Linked DNA regions of Oryzias latipes. The protein of the gene in region 1 purifies or fractionates together with the protein of each later gene. This does not show direct contact. Links are inferred from orthologs where the notes say so. Each region holds a gene or a part of one and is shown in the gene's direction. Other genes may lie near its edges.

Evidence for each region.
Region 2: the proteins of ppp2cb (region 1) and sike1 purify together in Homo sapiens (affinity purification with mass spectrometry; 3 studies listed by BioGRID and IntAct, counting the BioPlex papers as one, with this or other methods). This does not show direct contact. The link is inferred for Oryzias latipes from reciprocal best matches to the Homo sapiens genes PPP2CB and SIKE1.
Region 3: the proteins of ppp2cb (region 1) and ccdc6 purify together in Homo sapiens (affinity purification with mass spectrometry; 3 studies listed by BioGRID and IntAct, counting the BioPlex papers as one, with this or other methods). This does not show direct contact. The link is inferred for Oryzias latipes from reciprocal best matches to the Homo sapiens genes PPP2CB and CCDC6.
Region 4: the proteins of ppp2cb (region 1) and serine/threonine-protein phosphatase 2A 56 kDa regulatory subunit epsilon isoform purify together in Homo sapiens (affinity purification with mass spectrometry; 5 studies listed by BioGRID and IntAct, counting the BioPlex papers as one, with this or other methods). This does not show direct contact. The link is inferred for Oryzias latipes from reciprocal best matches to the Homo sapiens genes PPP2CB and PPP2R5E.
Region 5: the proteins of ppp2cb (region 1) and strn3 purify together in Homo sapiens (affinity purification with mass spectrometry; 5 studies listed by BioGRID and IntAct, counting the BioPlex papers as one, with this or other methods). This does not show direct contact. The link is inferred for Oryzias latipes from reciprocal best matches to the Homo sapiens genes PPP2CB and STRN3.

What each region holds. Positions count from the first base shown.
Region 1 is NC_019867.2:193,804-198,002, forward strand, and holds the end of ppp2cb (serine/threonine-protein phosphatase 2A catalytic subunit beta isoform), read left to right. Parts: intron 1-765; coding exon 766-936; intron 937-1,587; coding exon 1,588-1,761; intron 1,762-1,838; coding exon 1,839-1,928; intron 1,929-2,675; coding exon 2,676-2,837; intron 2,838-2,926; coding exon 2,927-3,045; intron 3,046-3,157; coding exon 3,158-3,230; 3' UTR 3,231-3,690; downstream 3,691-4,199.
Region 2 is NC_019865.2:1,582,250-1,586,388, forward strand, and holds the start of sike1 (suppressor of IKBKE 1), read left to right. Parts: upstream 1-1,330; 5' UTR 1,331-1,601; coding exon 1,602-1,760; intron 1,761-1,883; coding exon 1,884-1,989; intron 1,990-2,062; coding exon 2,063-2,205; intron 2,206-2,303; coding exon 2,304-2,417; intron 2,418-3,155; coding exon 3,156-3,263; 3' UTR 3,264-4,139.
Region 3 is NC_019873.2:18,424,300-18,428,274, reverse strand, and holds the start of ccdc6 (coiled-coil domain-containing protein 6), read left to right. Parts: upstream 1-1,166; 5' UTR 1,167-1,202; coding exon 1,203-1,457; intron 1,458-2,506; coding exon 2,507-2,656; intron 2,657-3,864; coding exon 3,865-3,975.
Region 4 is NC_019880.2:23,561,719-23,565,884, reverse strand, and holds the start of serine/threonine-protein phosphatase 2A 56 kDa regulatory subunit epsilon isoform, read left to right. Parts: upstream 1-1,357; 5' UTR 1,358-1,429; coding exon 1,430-1,467; intron 1,468-4,166. UniProt on the Homo sapiens protein: The B regulatory subunit might modulate substrate selectivity and catalytic activity, and might also direct the localization of the catalytic enzyme to a particular subcellular compartment.
Region 5 is NC_019880.2:2,602,528-2,606,794, reverse strand, and holds the start of strn3 (striatin-3), read left to right. Parts: upstream 1-1,458; 5' UTR 1,459-1,719; coding exon 1,720-1,956; intron 1,957-3,869; coding exon 3,870-3,973; intron 3,974-4,267. UniProt on the Homo sapiens protein: Calmodulin-binding scaffolding protein which is the center of the striatin-interacting phosphatase and kinase (STRIPAK) complexes.

The sequences.
Region 1 (4,199 bases):
GCTACCATGCTATGATACTAAATGCTACCATGCTATATGCTACCATGCTATGATACTAAATGCTACCATGCTATGATACTAAATGCTACCATGCTATAATGCTAAATGCTACCATGCTATAATGCTAAATGCTACCATGCTATGATACTAAATGCTACCATGGTATGATGCTAAATGCTACCATGCTATGATACTAAATGCTACCATGCTATGATACTAAATGCTACCATGCTATGATACTAAATGCTACCATGCTATGATACTAAATGCTACCATGCTATGATACTAAATGCTACCATGCTATGATACTAAATGCTACCATGCTATATGCTACCATGCTATGATACTAAATGCTACCATGCTATGATGCTAAATGCTACCATGCTATGATACTAAATGCTACCATGTTATGATACTAAATGCTACCATGCTATGATGCTAAATGCTACCATGCTATGATACTAAATGCTACCATGCTAAATGCTACCATGCTATGACGCTAAATGTTACCGTGCTATGACACTAAATGCTACCGTGCTATGATAATAAATGCTACCATGCTAAATGCTACCATGCTATGATGCTAAATGCTACCATGCTACATGCTACCCTGCAATGATGCTAAATGCTACCATGCTATGCTAACGAGCTGTTCCGTGTGTCATCTACATGTGATCACGGTTTAGTCAGACTTTGTTTTCACGTAGCGGATTTTAATACATGACGGATAAATGCAACATGACTTGATGATGACGGTCTCCTCAGGTGCGATGCCCGGTGACCGTGTGCGGCGACGTTCACGGTCAGTTCCATGACCTGATGGAGCTCTTTAAGATCGGAGGGAAGTCTCCAGACACCAACTACCTGTTCATGGGAGACTACGTGGACAGGGGCTACTACTCTGTGGAGACGGTCACGCTGCTCGTCACGTTAAAGGTAACCCTCGTTAGCAGACCTTCCTGCTGAGAGTGGGAGCGCCTGAGGAGGTGGGACTGCATCTGATTGTTGTCAGCAGTCTTCTGTGGTCACACCTGCACAACTGTCAGGTTTCTGCCAAATGGTAATATGGGAGGCCGTACCTGCAGTTGGAAGAGGTGTGTTTGTGTGGCAGAGCGGCAGCGGCAGTGTTGTGTGTTCCTTTCTGTGTGTTTCTATGTTTCCGTGTGTGTTTGTGTTTCTGTGTTCGTTTCAAGGTTTCCGTGTTTCTATGTGTCCGTGTGTGTCTGTGTGTTTGTGTTTTCTCTGCGAGTTGGCGGCTGTTTTAAGAAGAAATGTTCTTAAAGGTTACCTGTTTTTAATCTTAATGGTTGTCCGTTTTGGACCGCAGACACTTCTCCTGAATAAGGAAATTAATCTTGAAGTCGGTCTTTTCAGTGGCTGTAACTCCGCCCACCTCCTCAAAGTTTGCTGTAAAGGCGGAGTCAGAGGTCCCGCCTCTGCGTGCAGCTTTGTGGTTGTCGTTGGAGGACTTTAGTCTCGTTAACCAGATCGCAGAGGTCTTTCCTCGGTTTCTCCGGAGGTGTGCGATGTGTGATGCTGTGGAACCTGCTGGCAGCTGGCAGTGTTCATGTGAGGTTTCATGCGCAGGTTCGATTCCCAGAGAGGATCACTATACTGCGAGGGAACCACGAGTCCCGTCAGATCACACAGGTCTACGGATTCTATGACGAGTGTCTGCGGAAATACGGCAACGCCAACGTCTGGAAGTACTTCACAGACCTGTTTGACTACCTGCCGCTCACTGCGCTGGTGGACGGGCAGGTGAGAGCCGCTACACCCAGACCGTCAGGCCATGGAAGCAGGAGCTCTACAGACACTGTCCTTTGCTGTCCTTTCAGATTTTCTGTCTCCACGGCGGCCTGTCTCCCTCCATAGACACTCTGGACCACATACGAGCTCTGGACCGCCTGCAGGAGGTCCCGCATGAGGTACACGCTCCTCACTGGACGTCCCGCTCAAGTGTTTTGGGCCTTACGTCATTCCAATCCTTTGATTTGGAGTTTGTGCCGATACAGAGTCCTGATCCAAAACTTTTGTGAAGTACTTTAAAAAAAAACAAAAAAAAAAACAAATTAATGAACAGATCCATTTTTTCTTTTATTCTCCTCCTTTTATCATTCAACACTTCTACGATTAAGTAAATCCTGCAGCTATCTAGTACGAATAGTTAACTATAAACTAGTCAAAACTGCTGATAATCATGGCAGAAAGTTTGGGGACTGAAGCTTTAGTATCCTCAGAATTGTTGAACATTTTTAATCGGAACAGGAAAAAATCTCAGCGCCGTTTTCAATCCTGATGGTTTTTCTCTTAAAATCCTTTCGTAGGTCGTTGTTTACGTGACACTTGCCGTCAGTTGAAAACATTTTATTAAGAGTCATTGACCCGGAACTCGAAGCTGTGAAAAATTGTGGTGATTCGTTGATGAAATGCAGACTTCTAGTAGAGTATTTATCTGGAATAATAAGCTTGAAATGATGGTATAATCGGGTTAGGGTTATGTCCGATCGGGAGACACGTCTGATTTCAATCCAGTCTGCAACCGATCGATCAACTCCGGTTTGCGATCACGTGGTCGGAGCGGGACAGCCCCGACAGCAGCGTCCTCCTCTGCTGCAGAGCAGAAGGTAAGAGCTGCACAGGTTGGTGTTAATCTGACTCCCCCCACCCCCCAGGGCCCCATGTGCGACCTGCTGTGGTCTGACCCGGATGACCGCGGTGGGTGGGGCATCTCTCCCAGAGGTGCTGGCTACACTTTTGGACAGGACATTTCTGAAACCTTCAACCACGCCAACGGCCTAACTCTGGTGTCCCGCGCCCATCAGCTGGTCATGGAGGTGAGACTCCTCATACACACACACACACCCCCGGCTGTTAGGATGGATGGGCCGTTTGTGATCATGCACCCCCACCCCTCTGTCTGCAGGGCTACAACTGGGGTCACGACAAGAACGTGGTGACCATCTTCAGCGCCCCCAACTACTGCTATCGCTGCGGCAACCAGGCAGCCATCATGGAACTGGACGACACCCTGAAGTACTCTTTGTAAGTCCCACCCCCCCGGGTGTCTCTGGATGGAACATTCCTAGAGAGTCCAATCATCATTTCATCCAACGTGTCTCTGAATCGCACCTTTACTTTCATCCTCTCTCTACAGCCTGCAGTTTGACCCCGCCCCCCGCCGCGGCGAGCCTCATGTGACTAGACGCACTCCTGACTACTTCCTGTGAATGTCCTATTGTCCCCCATAAGTCATTCACCAAGCCCCGCCCCTGCCCCACCCCTCTCATTTTGAATGGAGAAGATGCATTGAGCAGATTCAACAGAGCGGTGATGTCACTAAAGCTGAGCTTCAGCCGCATGTTAACCTTCATCTTCTCCATCTGACATGTTTGAAAACAGGAGAATAAAAAAGTACCGACGTGGACCAAATGTGCCATATTTTGATCCTTTTCCAACAACTGTTTTTGTTTTTTAGAGCTCACTATATCCCCGCCCGTCTCCACCTTCATCCATCTGTGCTTTCTTTCTGTTGCCAGATCAGTTTAAAGGAAACGTAGGAGAGTTTGCTTCAGTAGAACAGCTCTGAGTTTCAGCTGTTAAGGCTGCAGCCAGCAGTCATCTCTACTATATTACTGTAATTTCAATGAAGACAACAGACATGTGAAATAAAATGTCCTATTGACAAACCGCTGCTGTCCGTCTGCTCTGTGCCAAACAAACTGACAAACCTGGATGACATCACAGGGGTTCACTGACACCTGGATGACATCACAGGGGTTCACTGACACCTGGATGACATCACAGGGGTTCACTGACACCTGGATGACATCACAGGGGTTCACTGACACCTGGATGACATCACAGGGATTCACTGACACCTGGATGACATCACAGGGATTCACTGACACCTGGATGACATCACAGGGATTCACTAGCTGAATTTACATGGACAAAAGTAATCGGAAAGAACGCCTGATCGGAAGAAAAATGCGTCATGTAAACACGCCGTTCGTAATACTCTGACTTGTTCGGATCAAAATTTCTTTCCGATCGAGATAGGTGGGTTATGCCGATTGTGGATTCGATCGTTGTTCATGTAAACAGTTCATTCCGATCGTGTGTCACTACTGCTCTGGTTTGACGTCATACATAGATGGTGTTTTGCTCCATAGAAGCTTTGGACCGACCTGCTGCGT
Region 2 (4,139 bases), on another chromosome or scaffold:
AAAGGGCTAAGAGGACATCCCTGCCATATTCCTCTGTTTGTGTCAAATCTAGGAGTTGTGCCATGTGCAACTTTAATGGAGCTGTTGCATCCATTGTACAGACCCTCCATCACTTTTAAAAATCTTTTACCAAATCCAAATTCTTTTATAACTGGAGTCATAAAACTGTGACTAATTATGTCAAATGCCTCGTAAAAGTCAACAAATAAGATAAAACCATCATCTCTAATATGTTCATTATAATCAATCATTTCTACTATTAATCTGGGAGCCGGTTTAGCTCGTGTTTGCGGCGCCTTCTGTCCGTGAAACCAGGGTTCGACTCCAGGCTGCTCCCTGCTCCCTTCTCTACCTCTGTGCCGGTCCTAAGCCCAGTTTGAGAAGGTTGCGTCAGGAAGGGCATCCGGCATAAAAACGTTGCCAAATTTACCACGCCCTGTTTACCACGCGTTCGCTGTGGCGACCCCTGATGGGAGAAGCCGAAAGAGGAAGAAGATATCTAGTATTAATCTGATATTGTTGGCAATATTTCTACCAGGCATGAAAGCAGATCATTCTTCTTCAATAATGTTATCCAGTCCTGGTTTTAATCTTTTGGTAAAAATGAGAGCAAATATTTTAGCATCATTGTTTAACAGACTAATTGGTCTCCAGTTTTCTATGCATAATTTATCTTTTTGTGGTTTGGGGATGAGTTTGATGATGCCTTGTCTGAGAGTTGGGGGCAATATACCAATTTCTAACACTTCTTCAAATAAATTAGCTAGAAAAGAGGTTAATTTGGCAATAAAACATTTATAAAACTCACTTGTTAGTCCTTCATTTGCTGGACTTTTATTATCTTTAAGAGATTTACTACAATTTTCAACTTCCTCTGTTTTAATTTTCTGGTCACAAGACTTTTCAAAGGTTTCAATTACTTTTCCAATCTTTTCTTTAATATTGTTGATAAATAGTTCAATATCTTCTTCTCTAAAGCAAATTTTAGTGTAAGTTTCCTGATAGAATTTTGCAACATATTGAGAAACCTTTTTTGTATCTTCACTTATTGAATTACCAATTTTAATTTGACGCAGACAGGAAATTTCAAAATCTCTTTGTTCTCAGTTGAAAAAGTATTTAGTACATTTTTCACCTTGTTCTAACCATTTTCTTCTGGATCTAACAAAGGCTTCTCCTGCTTTTTCTTCATATACTTTATTCGATTCTGATTGCAAAGAAATTAGTACGTTTTGTTGTAGATTAATTCGTTTTCATTGATAATCATTATTTTTCCTTATCATTATTGTCTTTGAATGCATCATAAGAGGGGGCGGGGAAAACGCGGAAGTGACGTCATCATTGATCGCAGTGTATCGTCTGCTTGACGGATAGGTGGGGGTACTTTTAAAGCGTTTGTTTGCTGTTTTGACCGTTTTCTCCATACCGTGTGAAAACAGTGCAGGCGTTAGGCGGGAAAGTTCCCGCAAGGCTTGTGCTCGGAAGCGCCGCGGTTACGCGCCGAGCTCGAGCCAACTTAGTTGGAGGGAGTTTCGCTGGAACCGCGCTCGTGAAGCAGGGGCTCGATCGCGTCGCCCCGCGGACCTGACGCTTTCCAGTAAATGGCCTGCACTTTGGAGAAAGTGTTGGGCGACGCTCGGACCCTCCTCGAGAGGCTGAAGGAGCACGACACGGCCGCCGAGGGTCTGATCGAGCAGTCCGGGGCCCTCAGCCGCAGAGTGCAGGACATGAAGGAGGTGGGAAATGCCCTTCCGGAGAAGGTAAAGACTCGGCGGATGAGACGTTCAGGTGCTGGGCGGCCATAGCTGCTGAAAATACCAGTGGGATTTTTTAATGGATAACTTTTGCTAGTAAATAACATGTTAGTACATTTTGTTTGACAGCACTTGGAAGACAATGCAGAACTACGGGAGCTCACAAAGTACAAACCTCATGTTCTTCTGACCCAAGAAAACACTCAAATCAAGGATCTGCAGCAGGAGAACAAAGGTAGGATTCTGTTCGGGCGGTTTCCACGGTGGGTCGTGTTTGTTCTAACCCTCTGGGTGGACTTTCTCCTCAGAATTATGGCTGTCTCTTGAAGAACACCAGTACGCTCTGGAACTCATCATGGGTCGGTACCGCAAGCAGATGCTGCAGCTGATGATGGCAAAGAAGGAGCTGGACACCAAACCGGTTCTGAGCCTCCACCAGGATTACGCCAAAGTACAGCGTCTTTCACACCATCTTTGTGCAGCGTGACATCGTCTCTTTGAGGGCCGGCTTTGGGAGAAAACTCGTGGCGTTTTTACTTGTCTCTACAGGAAGTGCAGAACAAGGTGGAGCAGATATGCGAGATGGGTCAGGTGATGAGAAGAGCCGTTCAGGTGGACGATCAGCACTACTGCTCCGTTCGAGAGAGGCTGGCTCAGCTGGAGGTGAGTACCGACGATCGAGCCTCTTTCCCCAAGAGGTCAGAGGTCATTTCTTCCCCCTAAAGCAGTATTAAAAGCAGCAGAGGGGACGGAGGAGGGCCCACGAAAACCTTCACAACAGCAGACGTTTGTCACAAGAACCAAAGATCTGAGAAGGAACTCCTTTTGTTTTGGTCCATCCATCCATTTCACCTCCAGATCTGACTTCACTGCGTCACTTAAAACTTACAGAAACCTTTTTTTTTCTCTTAAAAACTTCCAGAGATAAAGTTGTAGCCTGAAGGTTTTGAACGAAATGTCTTTTTCTAAAAAACAGGAAGCTGTCCAGTAAAACATTCTAAAGATCACATATTTGTTTGATTCTTGCAGCTTTATTGCATAAATGTTCTTTTTTCCTATAAAATCATTTTATATACATTAAAAAAACTAAGAATGATGAAAACTGCTGTGTTTAGGCAACTCAGTCCCAGGTTGGCGTTTTTAACAAGACTTTGGTTTTTTTCAAATGTTCTATGTAAAATACTTTAATACAGAGAATGTAGGCATTTGTCTTTATTTCATACTCTTCTTTTATCTAGAACAACAAACAATATAGGCAGTACAACATTTTAATTGTGAAAGACGTGTAAATCTTATCACATGTACACATTTAAATCTTTTGTTTTAGTGAAGAAGAAAAGTAGTAGATGGAGTCCGTTGGGAGGAAAGTATTCAGTCTCTTGGTTTTTTTCTCTCTTTCAGATTGAGAACAAGGAGCTTCAGGACCTTTTGGTCATCAGCAAAGAAAGCATCAAAATGTCAAAAAAAGAAGAACCCCACCAGCCTGAAGCAGCAGAACCGACTTCATGAGCTCCATCGAGCTCTGCGTGTGAATTTATTCCCTCAAATGGATTTATTTATAGAAAGTCATACGGCATCTTTAATACAAAAAAAAGATCTATCATCTTGTCTGCAGCTAAGATAATAATTAAAGTGTTACTGTGGACGGCATTCAATTAGCTGTTCTTTGAGGTGTATTTATTAGATTCTAACACGTGCTGTCAAAGTAGATTTAAAGTATTTTTTTGCCAAAGATATATATTTAATCGTCATAGTTTTTTTGGACCCCTGATGTTCACACAATCTCTACTGCCTCCTATTAAAGCCAAGCACCGCTCTGTTTCACAACAGAGAGGACCTTTGGGGAAAACAAGCAGTTTATTCTGATTATATTTACCTGTTTGTTTGAATGAACAGAAGTTTGGTTTGTGCTGTTGCATTTTGTGCAGTAGGTGTTTTTTAATTTTTTTGTATGAATGAAAAACGTTCTGTTTTCATCTCAGGAATTCAGTTTAACTTCATGGTTTGGTGTAAAACAAAATCAAACGATAATAATAAAAGAAGTGTTTTTCCAAGGCATTTGAGGTGTTGTCCCTTCTTCGAACGCAGGGCGGCAGCATCGAGTCAACTTACTAAAAACCTATCGCGAGATCGGAAAAAGTACAGCGCAAACGCTTTTAGGCTATTAAAAACCTATCAAATCACCTTTTCACGCAACTTTCATAATTTCCATTAGTTTGGTTGTAACAATATTTGTCACATTTAAGTGACATTTTAAAAAGACAATCGTCAGAAAGCTCGGATTTCCCACAGAACCTAAACGCCGCATGAGCCCTATATTTGACAGTTGTCGTTTTAAGCTAACGGATCCAGAATGTCTGAAAGGGAACTGGGGAGGAAGCTGGA
Region 3 (3,975 bases), on another chromosome or scaffold:
CTGCCTCCCCTGTAAAAAACTTTCCCTCCCACGTCTGACATAATTTCTGAGTCAACATTAGCATCAGTATTGACAAAGATTAAGAAACCATCAATACATGCTTCTTTGAGCATTATAAATGGTATCTCAGGTAAAAGAACTGCTGTTTGAATATTATTAACAATATTAAAACTGTTTGACGTGTATTTTTGATTGTTTCATTTGTAATGGCCTTCCACTCTGCTGTTCCCATTTCCCACTCTTCTAAAGTCTTTTCCCTTCTTCCTCCCTCCCCACGTAACCTTTGTGCTATCCTAGGCACTTTAACGTTGGAAGTTGGGTCATCTAGACCGACTAGACAGTCCACTGAACCTTTTTTCTTCAATGATTTGTGAACCTCACTGGTGAACACGTCAAATTAAGGGTGGGGTCATCTAAGATAGCACAAGGGTTACAATGTTCAAGCTTCTCCACTGCACCCAACAAATAGGACTACAGCAAAAACATTTTCTAATGAGTGTTAATAACGGCCTGGAATTATCAGAATCAGAATTAGAATTATTTTATTGATCCCACATGTGGGAAATTTCTGCGTTACCATAGCAGTTTGTAACCATGAAAAGAAAATGTAATAAAATGAAAACAAGTAAATGTAAACAAGTAAGATGGTATTATCATTTAAAAACTATGAATATTATGAATAGCTAACAATTAAATGGTTAATATTTGTATTAAATATTTGTCATTTACAGACTTATACAATAATGTTATAGTATAAAAAATGTCATAATATTAAGTTAAACAGCAGCTGGATGGCTCAGTGGGCTGTGTGTATGCGTGGTGCATAGGAAACAAGGGTTTGTTTCCCAGGGGGTGGGATGAGCTCGATCCAGTTTGGAAGCAAGGCCTTTCATGCTCCTGATCAACACTGCAGCCACAAGGGGGCGCAAAAAGCACGGCCAAACCAAATGTGCGACTCAGTGAAAGCTGATTCACTGTGGCGACCTCTGACGAGGTATGTTGGAAGGAATAAGATTTCAGGTTATATATAAAATAAAATTTAAATATGGGTTTACTATCTTTGTTTATATTTTTCAGTCATAAACAGTCAGGGACCTCAGTAAATGGTATACTTCCTTGTAAATTTTGGCCCTTTTGGCTTGCCATAGTATCTGCAACTGCTGTCGTCCATCCTCCCCTGCTTCACACACTGTCGCACAGCCATGGCGGACAGCGCGAGCGAGAGCGACACTGACGGTGCGGGGAGCAGTTCAGCCACTCCGATGTCATCCTCTGCCTCCAGTTCTGCAAAACCGAGCATAGTCATTTCACAGTTTCGTCTGGAAGAGCTGACAAATCGTCTTGCATCGTTACAGCAGGAGAACAAAGTTCTTAAAATTGAGCTGGAGACGTTTAAACTGAAGTGCAAAGCCCTGCAGGAGGAGAACCGAGACCTTCGCAAAGCTAGCGTCACCATTGTGAGTAACGTTAGCAAGCTAACTGCTATATGCTATCCCACGCTATAAGTACAGTTCATTTGTCAGCAAGTAAGGAATGCTCGTTTTTGTGTAATTTGCCAATAAATCACAACAATATAATAATTCTAATTTGAATGCAATTGAATTTATGTTTTTCTCTGTTTAGCTGTTTTTTAACTGTAACATTGTTGCTAAATTAGCCAGCAAAGCTGCTTTGTTTTTTTCCTTTAGCTAATTTTGGCTAACGTTAGCAAAACTGTATCAAAACGATGCCAAACTAAACGTGGACTCATCGGTACACAATTTAAAATATTTACTTTTTGTCATTTGGATTGGGAGGGTTTCTCTTTGATAACGTCGTTGATACATTAGCAAGAAGATTAAAGGTGTCTGAATGAAAATTAATAAATCAGCTACAAAAAATGTGCATGAATTGTCGCGTCGTCATGTGTCTGCATGCTTGGCCACTGAGCCACAGCTTCATATAAATGTGTAACAGATCTGTTGGATGGATGAAGAGTATGTAGACCAAACTTAACGAGCTCAACAGACTGCCAAATAACTAAGTTTGTGAGTGTGAGGAAATTAAACCTTCAAACTGTTCACTTTCTTGTAGCTGAATTGTCACCAACTATTTTGAATTCTTGTTTATTAATAGATTTTCCTCAAAAACATCTCAAGTTGTCAGTTCTTGTTAACCTTGAATGAGAGGAATTGGGGATGAATAATGAGACTGGCAAGGGCAAACGTATCATCACACTGAAATGCTAGCTGCTCCCCCAAGCCCTACACATTGCAGCCCTAATGTGTCACTCCTTCCTGCGCTGCAAGTCAGCTTATACTGCAATATCTATTGAGTCATCTGGTCAAATTAAGCTCCCTATTTGGCTTGCAGACTTCACTGCAGCAGACTGAGTGAGTGGTGTATATCTGTCAATTTCTCCTGGGATCGTTTTTACGTTTTAATCAAGATAAAAACCGCTTTGCTTTGCCATGTCCGCCAGGTCCTTTCTTTAATTCCTGATCCTATATATCTTTCCTCCCCACAGCAAGCAAGAGCGGAACAGGAGGAAGAGTTTATCAGCAACACTTTGTTCAAGAAGATCCAGGCCCTCCAAAAGGAGAAGGAGACCTTAGCAGTCAACTATGAGAAGGAGGAAGAATTTCTCACCAATGAGCTGTCAAGGAAACTCATGCAAGTGAGTTTGTTTGTGAGAATTTTAATGGCTTAATAGATTCAAGAACCGATTTATTTGATCTTTATTAATTTACTACTGTTTTTTTTATGGAGAAAAAACAGAGTTGTGTAAAATAAAAATGCCAAATAGGAAATCCTCTTCAACCTTAGTCTCTCACCTCGTTTCACATGTTTAAATACACGAGTGGGAAAATTTGGCAGTAGGAACAAAACGACTTACTTCCTTGTCTAACCTCTATAATGATTTTATTTGTTTGACTTGGTGCCACTTGACAACTTTTCAATGATATGAACCCAAATTATTGGCCAGTTATTGTGATGTGATGTGACAATAATGGTTTTCCTCTGTTGAAAATGCTGTATTATTACTGAATCATCAGTGGGTTCAACTGATTGTGGTAAAACATTTCAAATACAACACTGTTACCTTTAGTTGCCTCTTAAAAACGGCGAGTTTCTTAAAGTTTATTTAATAGAGCTTACATTTCTCTGACTAAACTAATAATAGAGACAGCTTTAAAATCTTTGTCACATATTTAAAAGTGGTAGTTAAACATTTGTTGTTCAGCCAATTGAATATGCTACCTTATAATAAAGATGGTGTGCTGGAGTCTTTTTAGAAGTCAACAAATCTATCAGTTCCTTTTCTGGAGCTGCAGGAGAAACTGTACATGTTTTGTTACGAAAGGATAGAGAGGTGGGAGTCATTTGATCTAAATTATCATTGAGGCTGTGACTAAGACCACCGTTTGTTTTGTTTCTGTCAAAATAAAGGGTTCAATTAAACAAATTTGAAATATTTTTTGTCATTTCCCTTAGTTGGATTATGAAAATTGTCATTTCCACATTTTCTCTGCAGCTTTTCCCTACACAAGTTCAAATGGCCGTCTGCATTATGACTAATCACTTGCATAATCCATTGTAGAGAGGCCCTATTTTGAATTACATTCTGCCACACCCTTACTGAGCTTCCAAAAAACTGCTATGTTTTAGTCCAAATGGATGTTTTTTTTTTCTCTCTCCATCATTTTGAAAGTATTTTGAAAATTAAAACCAAATTCTGTGATCTGACAACTGGTTTAAATGGTTTTAGCATGACTAACTATGAAATGTCTCCCTGTCTGCTTGGCTAGTCTTTTCTGTCCTTGGTTTAGTCTGTTTCACTCACGTCTTTTCATTTCTTTGCCCTTGTTTCTTTTTCCTCCATAGCTCCAGCATGAGAAGGCAGAGTTGGAGCAGCACCTTGAGCAAGAGCAAGAGTTCCAGGTTAACAAGCTCATGAAAAAGATCAAGAAAATGGAGAATGAAACCATTTCAAAG
Region 4 (4,166 bases), on another chromosome or scaffold:
GTAAACAAACTAGTGAGGGAAACCCAAAGAAGCTAACCCAACTCAAGGACTTTTTTTTTAATTCCATACATCTGTACTTTTTTATCGTCTGGCAGTCCGATCAATCCAGTCCAAGTTTTGACGCTTGGTAACCTGTGAAAGGCTGGTGAACCAAAACAGCCCACTTAGAAAGTCAAATCACATGATTCATTTCTGCTGCCATGAAGTAGGTTTTGTGTTGTGGAGGTGGTGAGGTTGACAATGTCCAGAGTTTTTTTTTTTTTTTTACTTTTTTGCACAAAGATGTTTTGTTTTTCACACCTTGGGGGATTTATGACCCTAGCAGGATTTGTTTTTACTGCTGAGCAGTGTTTTCTGACGCCTCGTGTTACCGCTCTGCTCAGTAACAGCTGTTCACTCTGCCTGATGATTACGCCAGGTTTCTTCTTTAAAAACTGTTTGCGGGGCTGCAGGTAATTCTTTTTGGGGTGCGTCAAAACAACAAAAGAGGAGGTGACGGGGCGTGTCTTTATGGTGGAACAGAACCGGAAACATAGTGGATAGAAAAATATGGTCGCTTGAACGCGTTTTTAAAGTGTGTTCATGGTCATTGTGTCTAAAAGATTAAAGCAGAATCTAATCGGCAGTAATTTACATGTTTGTAAATATTTAAATTTTGGTATCTATGGGTAAACGGCAACTGTATTTTTTCACACTTTGCTAAAAATCGTAAACTTTAAATACCCGTTTTAAACTGTAAACATGAGAAAGGACTAGTTTTTTAGTTTCTCTAGATGGGAAAACTTTTACTTATTGAGGGACAGTGAAATGTGCTTTAAGGGTAATAAGAACCGACTTGTCTAATTCTAATCAAGGAAACAATGGTTTTCAACAGGGTCCTTTAGATTTGAATGGGATGCAGGCCTTAGAGGGGTAACAGGATATCCTGTCCATTAAATGTATCTTCTGAGATTTACCTGCAGTTCTGTTCTGCTGAGGAACTGCTTAGCATGAAAGCTTTGAGTTCAATCTTTGGCCAAGGAGTCAAATACCCGGGTTGTCCTTGCAGCTTTGTTGTTTTTTGATTGTGCATGCATGTTTCCCTCTGTGTGTCCACTTTCTTTAGCCTTGGTGCTGCCTGTTTGTTGACTTCCTGTCAAACAGTGGCTCCCTCCCTCCTCTTCCTTCTTTTCTGTTGCTCTTACCGCTGCCCGCTGTACCCCCTCCTGGCTCCTTTCTCCTTGTTCTTTAATCTCACCCTCCCTGAGCCTGTGTTGGGTGTCATCAGGCCTCTTATGTAATGGACATGTACAGGACGGTGACTGATGCTGTGGAGCCGTGCGCCTGACCGGTCTCCACAGTCCTGCTTTCATCCGTGTCCTTTGGTGCTTCTGGTGGTTTGCTGCTGGTTGCTGTCCAGTCTGAGGGAGGCCTTTTGAGAAAGGGACTGATGGTTGTAAAAGAGGATTGTAGTGCCTCTTTGCAAAGGTAAGGGCATTTGGTGTGCCTGTACATGCATCACATTTTCCTTTGGCTGTAGAATATCTTTACCCTCATTGATGCTGCCGTTTACTGCAGATCCTCCTTGTACGCCTTTACAACAGACTCCATTATTGCAGAGTAGAGCTGGTTTATCAGAACTGAAGGAAGTGTATAGCTGGGGTTGAAGTTTTACCTGCAGAAAATCCTCAGTCTGAACCTTTTCGAATTGTAATGAGTCAATCTGCTAATCTTTTTGTTTTTACCCCCTTTCAACACGATGGGCATACTAGTCTTTGGTGTGTTTGAGGAAAAGTTGTTAAATGAACAAGGTTATTTGAAAGGCATGTGTACTTTTTGAACATTTGATGAGGTTCTGAACTGTCTCATTAAAAATAAAAGGCATTCCTGGTGTTTTCAAATGTTTGTGAGATTAGATTAGAATTGTCAGGGTGCCAGATTTCAGACGAGGCTAATCCTACGATGTGTTTAGCATTGCGCTGTATAGCTCAAATACCATATATTTTTACTGCCGTATTCATTTTAGACTATTTAGATTAACGTTATTTTTATTTGAGTGTGTTTATAGGAGAGTTTGATAATTAAACATTTAAGTGAAAGTCATGAAACAACTGAAGCCACACTTTAGTCCTCATATGTCAGCACAGCAAGACTTGTTACCACTTAAACCGGCAGCAGAAGAATTTATCTGCTCCAAGAATTTTCCACTTAGGTAATGGCATTCTGTAAATGAGGGTAAACCTTTAACACACATGGAAAAATGTTGTCTGACCAGATTTCCTCGTGCCATACTTGTAAGTTTATATAGCCTTGTAAGGCTGCACAATATGAGGATATTAGGGATCAATATTGCGATGACGATCTTACTTGCTATATATAAACAAATAGCAAAACAACCAAAAACATAATTTCTATGTCACTGCAGTTTAATTTAAATAAGAGTCAACATATCTTAAATTATACCCCAAATGAAATAGTCTACATGGGAGGAGAGCATCTAACATAATAAAAGGGCTTCATCCGATTGGTCAAATGCATAAATGGGTTTATTTAATTCGCTAAATACTTCAAGCTGCCATAAAATTGTTTTAGCACATTTAAAGTAACCATTTATTGCGATTTTTGCCGTATTTTGCGATATGCATATTGCACAGCTTGATAACGCGGTAACGGTAAATTTGCGATTGAGTATGTAGGCCTATAGCCTTGTTATTGTCTTTTTATTGATTTATTTACATTAATTGCATTTTAAAGAGTCATTATATTAAATCTGGAACAACAAACCATCTTGTATATCGGTCTAGACTGCAACACTTTGATGAAAAGACTTAAATGAACGGACTCAAACTGACCAGAAGTAACAGCACAGAATCATCAGCGGGTTCAAATATTACCAAATTTTAAATTTAGACCGTTCTGCTGACCCACAAAAATCTAGACTAAAACTTTCTTTAATGAGCTATAAAATGACTGTGGAAGGCGAACATGTTAGAGATTCCCTGTTATTGTTTTACCACCACCACACTTTCAAATGTAGAATGAGAAACGGGCAACATTTTAAACGCTCAGTGTGCTGTTCATGGTAACCCTCACTCTCATGCTCAGAGTCAAAACCAGGAAAAAGTTCAAGTTCTTCTTGCTCAGTTCAGCCAACACCTTCTGAGCTAGCCGAGTTGTGTGGGTGGAAATATTCCACCATGGCTTTGATGACTCTGACGTTTCCTCAGTATGTTTGACTGAACACATCTAATCCAGGTAATCTTTGCTGGGAAAGATGGGGAAAAAGGACATGGTAGGGGATCTGGAAGATTAGGGTTGGGCAGCCCGGTTCTAGACTGGTCTTTGAAAAAGCAGTAGGTAAATGCAATCCATACATGCATAGGCCAATTATGGCAGAATTCATTAATGATTGGAAAGGTGCAGATGTGTCATCAAATATTTATGGTTAAGTTTAGGTAAAGCAGGTTCAATTGAAATGAACGCTTTTAGCTTTTCAAAGACCAGCTCCAGAAGAGCTTTGAAGGAGGTGCTTCAGATATAGGCAGGGACATGATAAAGAGAAGGGGTGATGGTTTCAATTATCTGTGCAGTACAGATGAGTGGGAAACAAAATAACGCTTGAGACAACAATGAGGACGACGCTCACAAACCTACTGCTTCAGTAGCATCCGCCAATGCTGAACTCACCAGTTGGCTGATCAGGAATGCCGCTTTTCTCCATACCTTTAAAATGCTAGACATTAGCGTGTCTCAGAGCGGATCCAGCTGCTGATTGTTCCACCCATTTCCTTTGTCTGGGAGGAGGCAGAACATGAAGACATGCTGAGGGAATTTAGGATGAACTCACCATAATGCTAACTACCGTAGTAACTGGTGTCACTTACACTATTCCTCACAGGGAACTCCTTAACATCTGCTGCTTTTGAAAAAAAAGTTTTTATTCTTCACTTGGTATTTCCTTACTTATAATTCAGCGTTAGAAATAAAGGGGAAAAAATGGTTGTCCTCTGGACAACCTGGCAAGTAATATTTGGTTGTCCTCACCAATTTTTGGTTGTCCTTCGATACCAATATTCAACAGCAACGAAACCTACTCAGATGACAGTACTTACATCTCTTCTATACATCTAATAGCAACTGCCTCTTATGATGGATATTTAAAAAACTTTAAATATTAAAAACAAACA
Region 5 (4,267 bases), on another chromosome or scaffold:
CGTTTTCACGTTCACATCTGGTACGCCCTCAGTCATCTTGCTGCAAAAGCCGCTTCCTGCCGCTACTTCCGTGTCTCTGTGAGCATTCAATAGGGGTAAAAATAAAAGCAAGAATGGTCGATCTGTTATTTTCTCGATGAAAATCTGAAAAATATCATATTAAGCTGGATGCTTCGCCTAAAGCACTTACCTTTAGCTTGTAGCATAACAACAATAGCAGTACGTCCCGTTTCCCAGAGTGCTTTGCTGCCAATCACTAGCCAATCACCGTGTCCCTGTGACCAAGGTCTAACAACAAGACCAATGATTGGCCAGTGATTTGCAGCAAAGCACTCTGGGAAACGGGACGTACTGCTATTGTTGTTATGCTACAAGCTAAAGGTAAGTGCTTTAGGCGAAGCATCCAGCTTAATATGATATTTTTCAGATTTTCATCGAGAAAATAACAGATCGACCATTCTTGCTTTTATTTTTACCCCTATTGAATGCTCACAGAGACACGGAAGTAGCGGCAGGAAGCGGCTTTTGCAGCAAGATGACTGAGGGCGTACCAGATGTGAACGTGAAAACGATGGATGCTTCTGTGCTTTTATAAATAAAATAAATAAATCTGTTCTCTAAACATCCTCCGTGTCTTCAATGCAATGTAATGAGACACACACAGACAGAAATGTGAAGGTATCTGCTGTAAATCTATGACGTAAATTAATAACAGGAAATGATCGGCTAGTCAGTTAGCATGTAGCCTAATAGCCTTCGAATGTAAAAATACTGACTGCTAAAGTTAATAAAAGACAAGTCCTGAATATTATTATTCCTATTCGACCCTAAACTACAATATCAGCTGTCTGACAACAGACCAGCCAGTTGCCCAAATGCCGGCATACATGATCAGACAGAGAGCTCTGCGGCGGAGCTAGCCTAGCAGGAGCTATCGTTTGACAAAGCAGCCTAGTTATCATAAATCTTTTGATATTTTTCTTATATTCATTGAGACGGTAATAAAGTGATCATTTTTGTTTTTCATGTTCCTTTTTTGAACGAATATGGGTCACAGAGACACGGAAGTTACCGCTGAAAGCGGCTTTTGCCGGCGTACAGAGAGCATATCCGCGTGAATGACTTATGACGTGAATAATTATTGCGTTCGAACGGATTAATTATTGCGTTCGAACGACATAATTATTGCGTTCGCACAAGTTAATCATTTCGAGGGAACGGAATAGTATTTTGAGGGAACGCAATAGTATCTTGTGGGAACGGAAAAGTATCTTGTGGGAACGGAATAGTATTTCGTGCGAACGACATAATAACCTGTGGGAACAAGATATTAATCTGTGGGAACAAGATATATTTTTATATCTTAATGTCAGGACACGGGCTCCGTAATTTTATTTTTAGGTTTGGGGTCTAAATGTGTGTCTGGATTTCCCGGCATGCAGCGCGGCAGGATTCCCCCTCGCAGCCGTCACATCCAGGCGGACAGCAGTGATGGCGGCCGGTGAGACTCACACGTAAACACCGCCTCCAAGTCGCCGCTCTCCGCTAAGCGCTCAGGGGCAGCCGGCCTCTTCCACGGCGGCGGTGCCAGCGCGACAAGTACCCCGGCGGAGACGCGCGAGGCCTTCGGCGCCTTTTTTTTTCCTTCTTTAATATTTAAAATCGGTTAGCTAATCATTAAGTACAAACGGCGCCGCACGTTCTAACAAAACCCGAAATATGGACGAACACCCAGGCGGGGGAGGAGCGGCCTCCCCGCGGCCGCCGCCGCTGCAGCAGCACGGGAGCAACTCCGGACCTCCCATCGGAACGGTCATGGTGCCCCAGCAGACGGACGAGTTAGCCCGGCCACAGCAGCAGTACACTATCCCGGGAATTCTACACTACATCCAGCACGAGTGGGCCCGGTTCGAAATGGAGAGGGCGCACTGGGAGGTGGAGCGGGCCGAACTCCAGGTTAGTCCGTCGCTATGGGTTAGCTGCTTAGCATTAGCATGGTTAGCTTCTTTTTTTCCACAGTCACCGGGGATCTCAAATAACCTTTTATCGGTATACGTATTAACGTGAATTTAAGGTAGCGACCGGAGCCCCACTGACATGTCAAGGGGGACGAGTAACCGGCGTGGAGGTCTGTTATCCAGCCGGGAGTCTGAGTGCGTTGGCCGTTAGCTTTGGAGCCCGTGGCTCAACTGAGATATCGGGAGCCTGCAGCCGCCGTGGATACGTTAATCGTGCTGTTTTGACATTTGGACCAGATGTTGGTCAGATGTTGTTCGTGACAGTCAGACGACCCTAAACGAATGACCTTACCGATTCAAATCCGTGATTCTGGAGGTTTTTTTTAATCAACCTATACATAGAAAAGTGGCTTTTTCTGGTTCTCTGGTTGGCTGCGAAGCATCTTTCAGGTCACACCTCCCTCTGGAAGATCTCCTGCATTCTAGGTCTTTATTTGCTGTCAGTTTTTTTATTTATTTACATGAATTCCTGTACATTTTCCATTTGAAGTCTGTGGATTTCTCCTTGGAAACAGCCTGTAAACAAACATGACTTCCCGATGAGAGAAGCGGGATCTGGAGCTGCTCCATGTTCTTCATGGAGCTCCAGGTGTGTGTTGGCTTTGCCGTGTCCAGCAGCAGATCTGCTGCTTCTACATCTCAGTTTGTGTGACAGAAGCAGACCCTTTTGGGTTTTTAGAAGGAATATCTGGCATCATCTCAGCTGTGGAGATGTTTCTGTCGGGGGGGGGGGGGGGGGGACGCTTTAATAAAGGCTAAAAACAAAATGAGAGTGTTGGTAGTGATATCATTTCATCACCATTGAACAATAAGGTTACTCCTCAGAGCCATTGAACGTATTGTGAGTCTCCAGGATGAGGATGATGAAGAGGCCGGAGGATTCTGCTCTGATCCTGGTCTGTGATGTCACAACCCAAAGGATGGTCCAATCAGATATTTATAGAAGTAGGTGACCCTGAACCAACGTCAGGCTCTCACATCAAACTGCATGGATCTCCCTTTTGGAGATTTGATATTTAAATTCCCTTAAAATTTAACTCACGAAGCAGAAGGAGACACTGGTGGGTTTATAATAACGAGGAAAAAGGAGTTAGTTTTAACCAAAATATGCTTTTTTTTCCTGTTATGGCATTATGTCTGCGCTGTTATTGATGTACACAATATTTTACATAATAAATGTGTTTTTAAATCATTCTTTTTTTATTAGAAACTGTCGAATTCTTTCATTTTTTAGATTTTATTAAATTTTTCCTCCTCATGTTTTAAGTCTTTTTGTTCTTCTGCAATGTTGCCACTAGATGGCACTAGATGTTTACACAGCAACCTCAAAAAGCCAAAAATAAATGTAAAAAAAAAATCAATTGTATTGTATCTTCCAGCTTCCAGAGCCACGTTTTGCTCCTCTGGACATGAATTCAGAGCAAAACTCTGACAGTGTGACGTCGTCGGTCTTAAATAGCTGTACTGACACAACGACAGTGGCGTTTTAATGAGGTGACGTGGTTGAATAACTGCAGCCCACATGTGCTGTTTTGGTCAGGGGTGTTGAGAAGCTCCCGATGACTCACAGGAACTCTGTCTGGTTTGTCATCGCCATACATTTAGGCTGAGCTGCTCACCGAACCTCCTTTCCAGTGTCTGATTCATGTAGGTGTCACATGACCTCACTCAACTCAACAACCATGTAAACAATCTTTAAAGAGTGACTCCCATATCTTTCAGAAACCTATCATAAAGAGAAGATCCAGGAGGATTTGGTTTCTCTGGAAGTGACTCGGTTGTTTTCTTGACACAATATTTTTGTGTACATAAGAGTTTTGAAACATTTGTTTCTGTTCTGCGTCTTTCCAGGCCCGGATAGCGTTCCTGCAGGGGGAGAGGAAGGGCCAGGAGAACCTAAAGAACGATCTGGTTCGAAGAATCAAGATGTTAGAATATGCTTTAAAACAGGAAAGGTAGGAACCCCGACTCATCTCAATTTATTCATTTTATCATCTAAATGTTTGAGACCAAAGAAAAAAAAATCTCTGCCTTCAAACAGGAAAACGACTAAAATCCAGAGGGAATGCTTCACTTTACGAACAGAGAATTAGGTTCGTTTGGAAGTGATTTCATAGCAGAAAAACAAGTTTCAGGTCAGAATCAATGTGAAAAACCTTGACCCAAGCTTAAAGTTGATTCCCCTTGTGGTTAAAATCATTTTCATCTTTTAAAAACAAGAATTTTATATTAAAAGGATTAAGATTTTT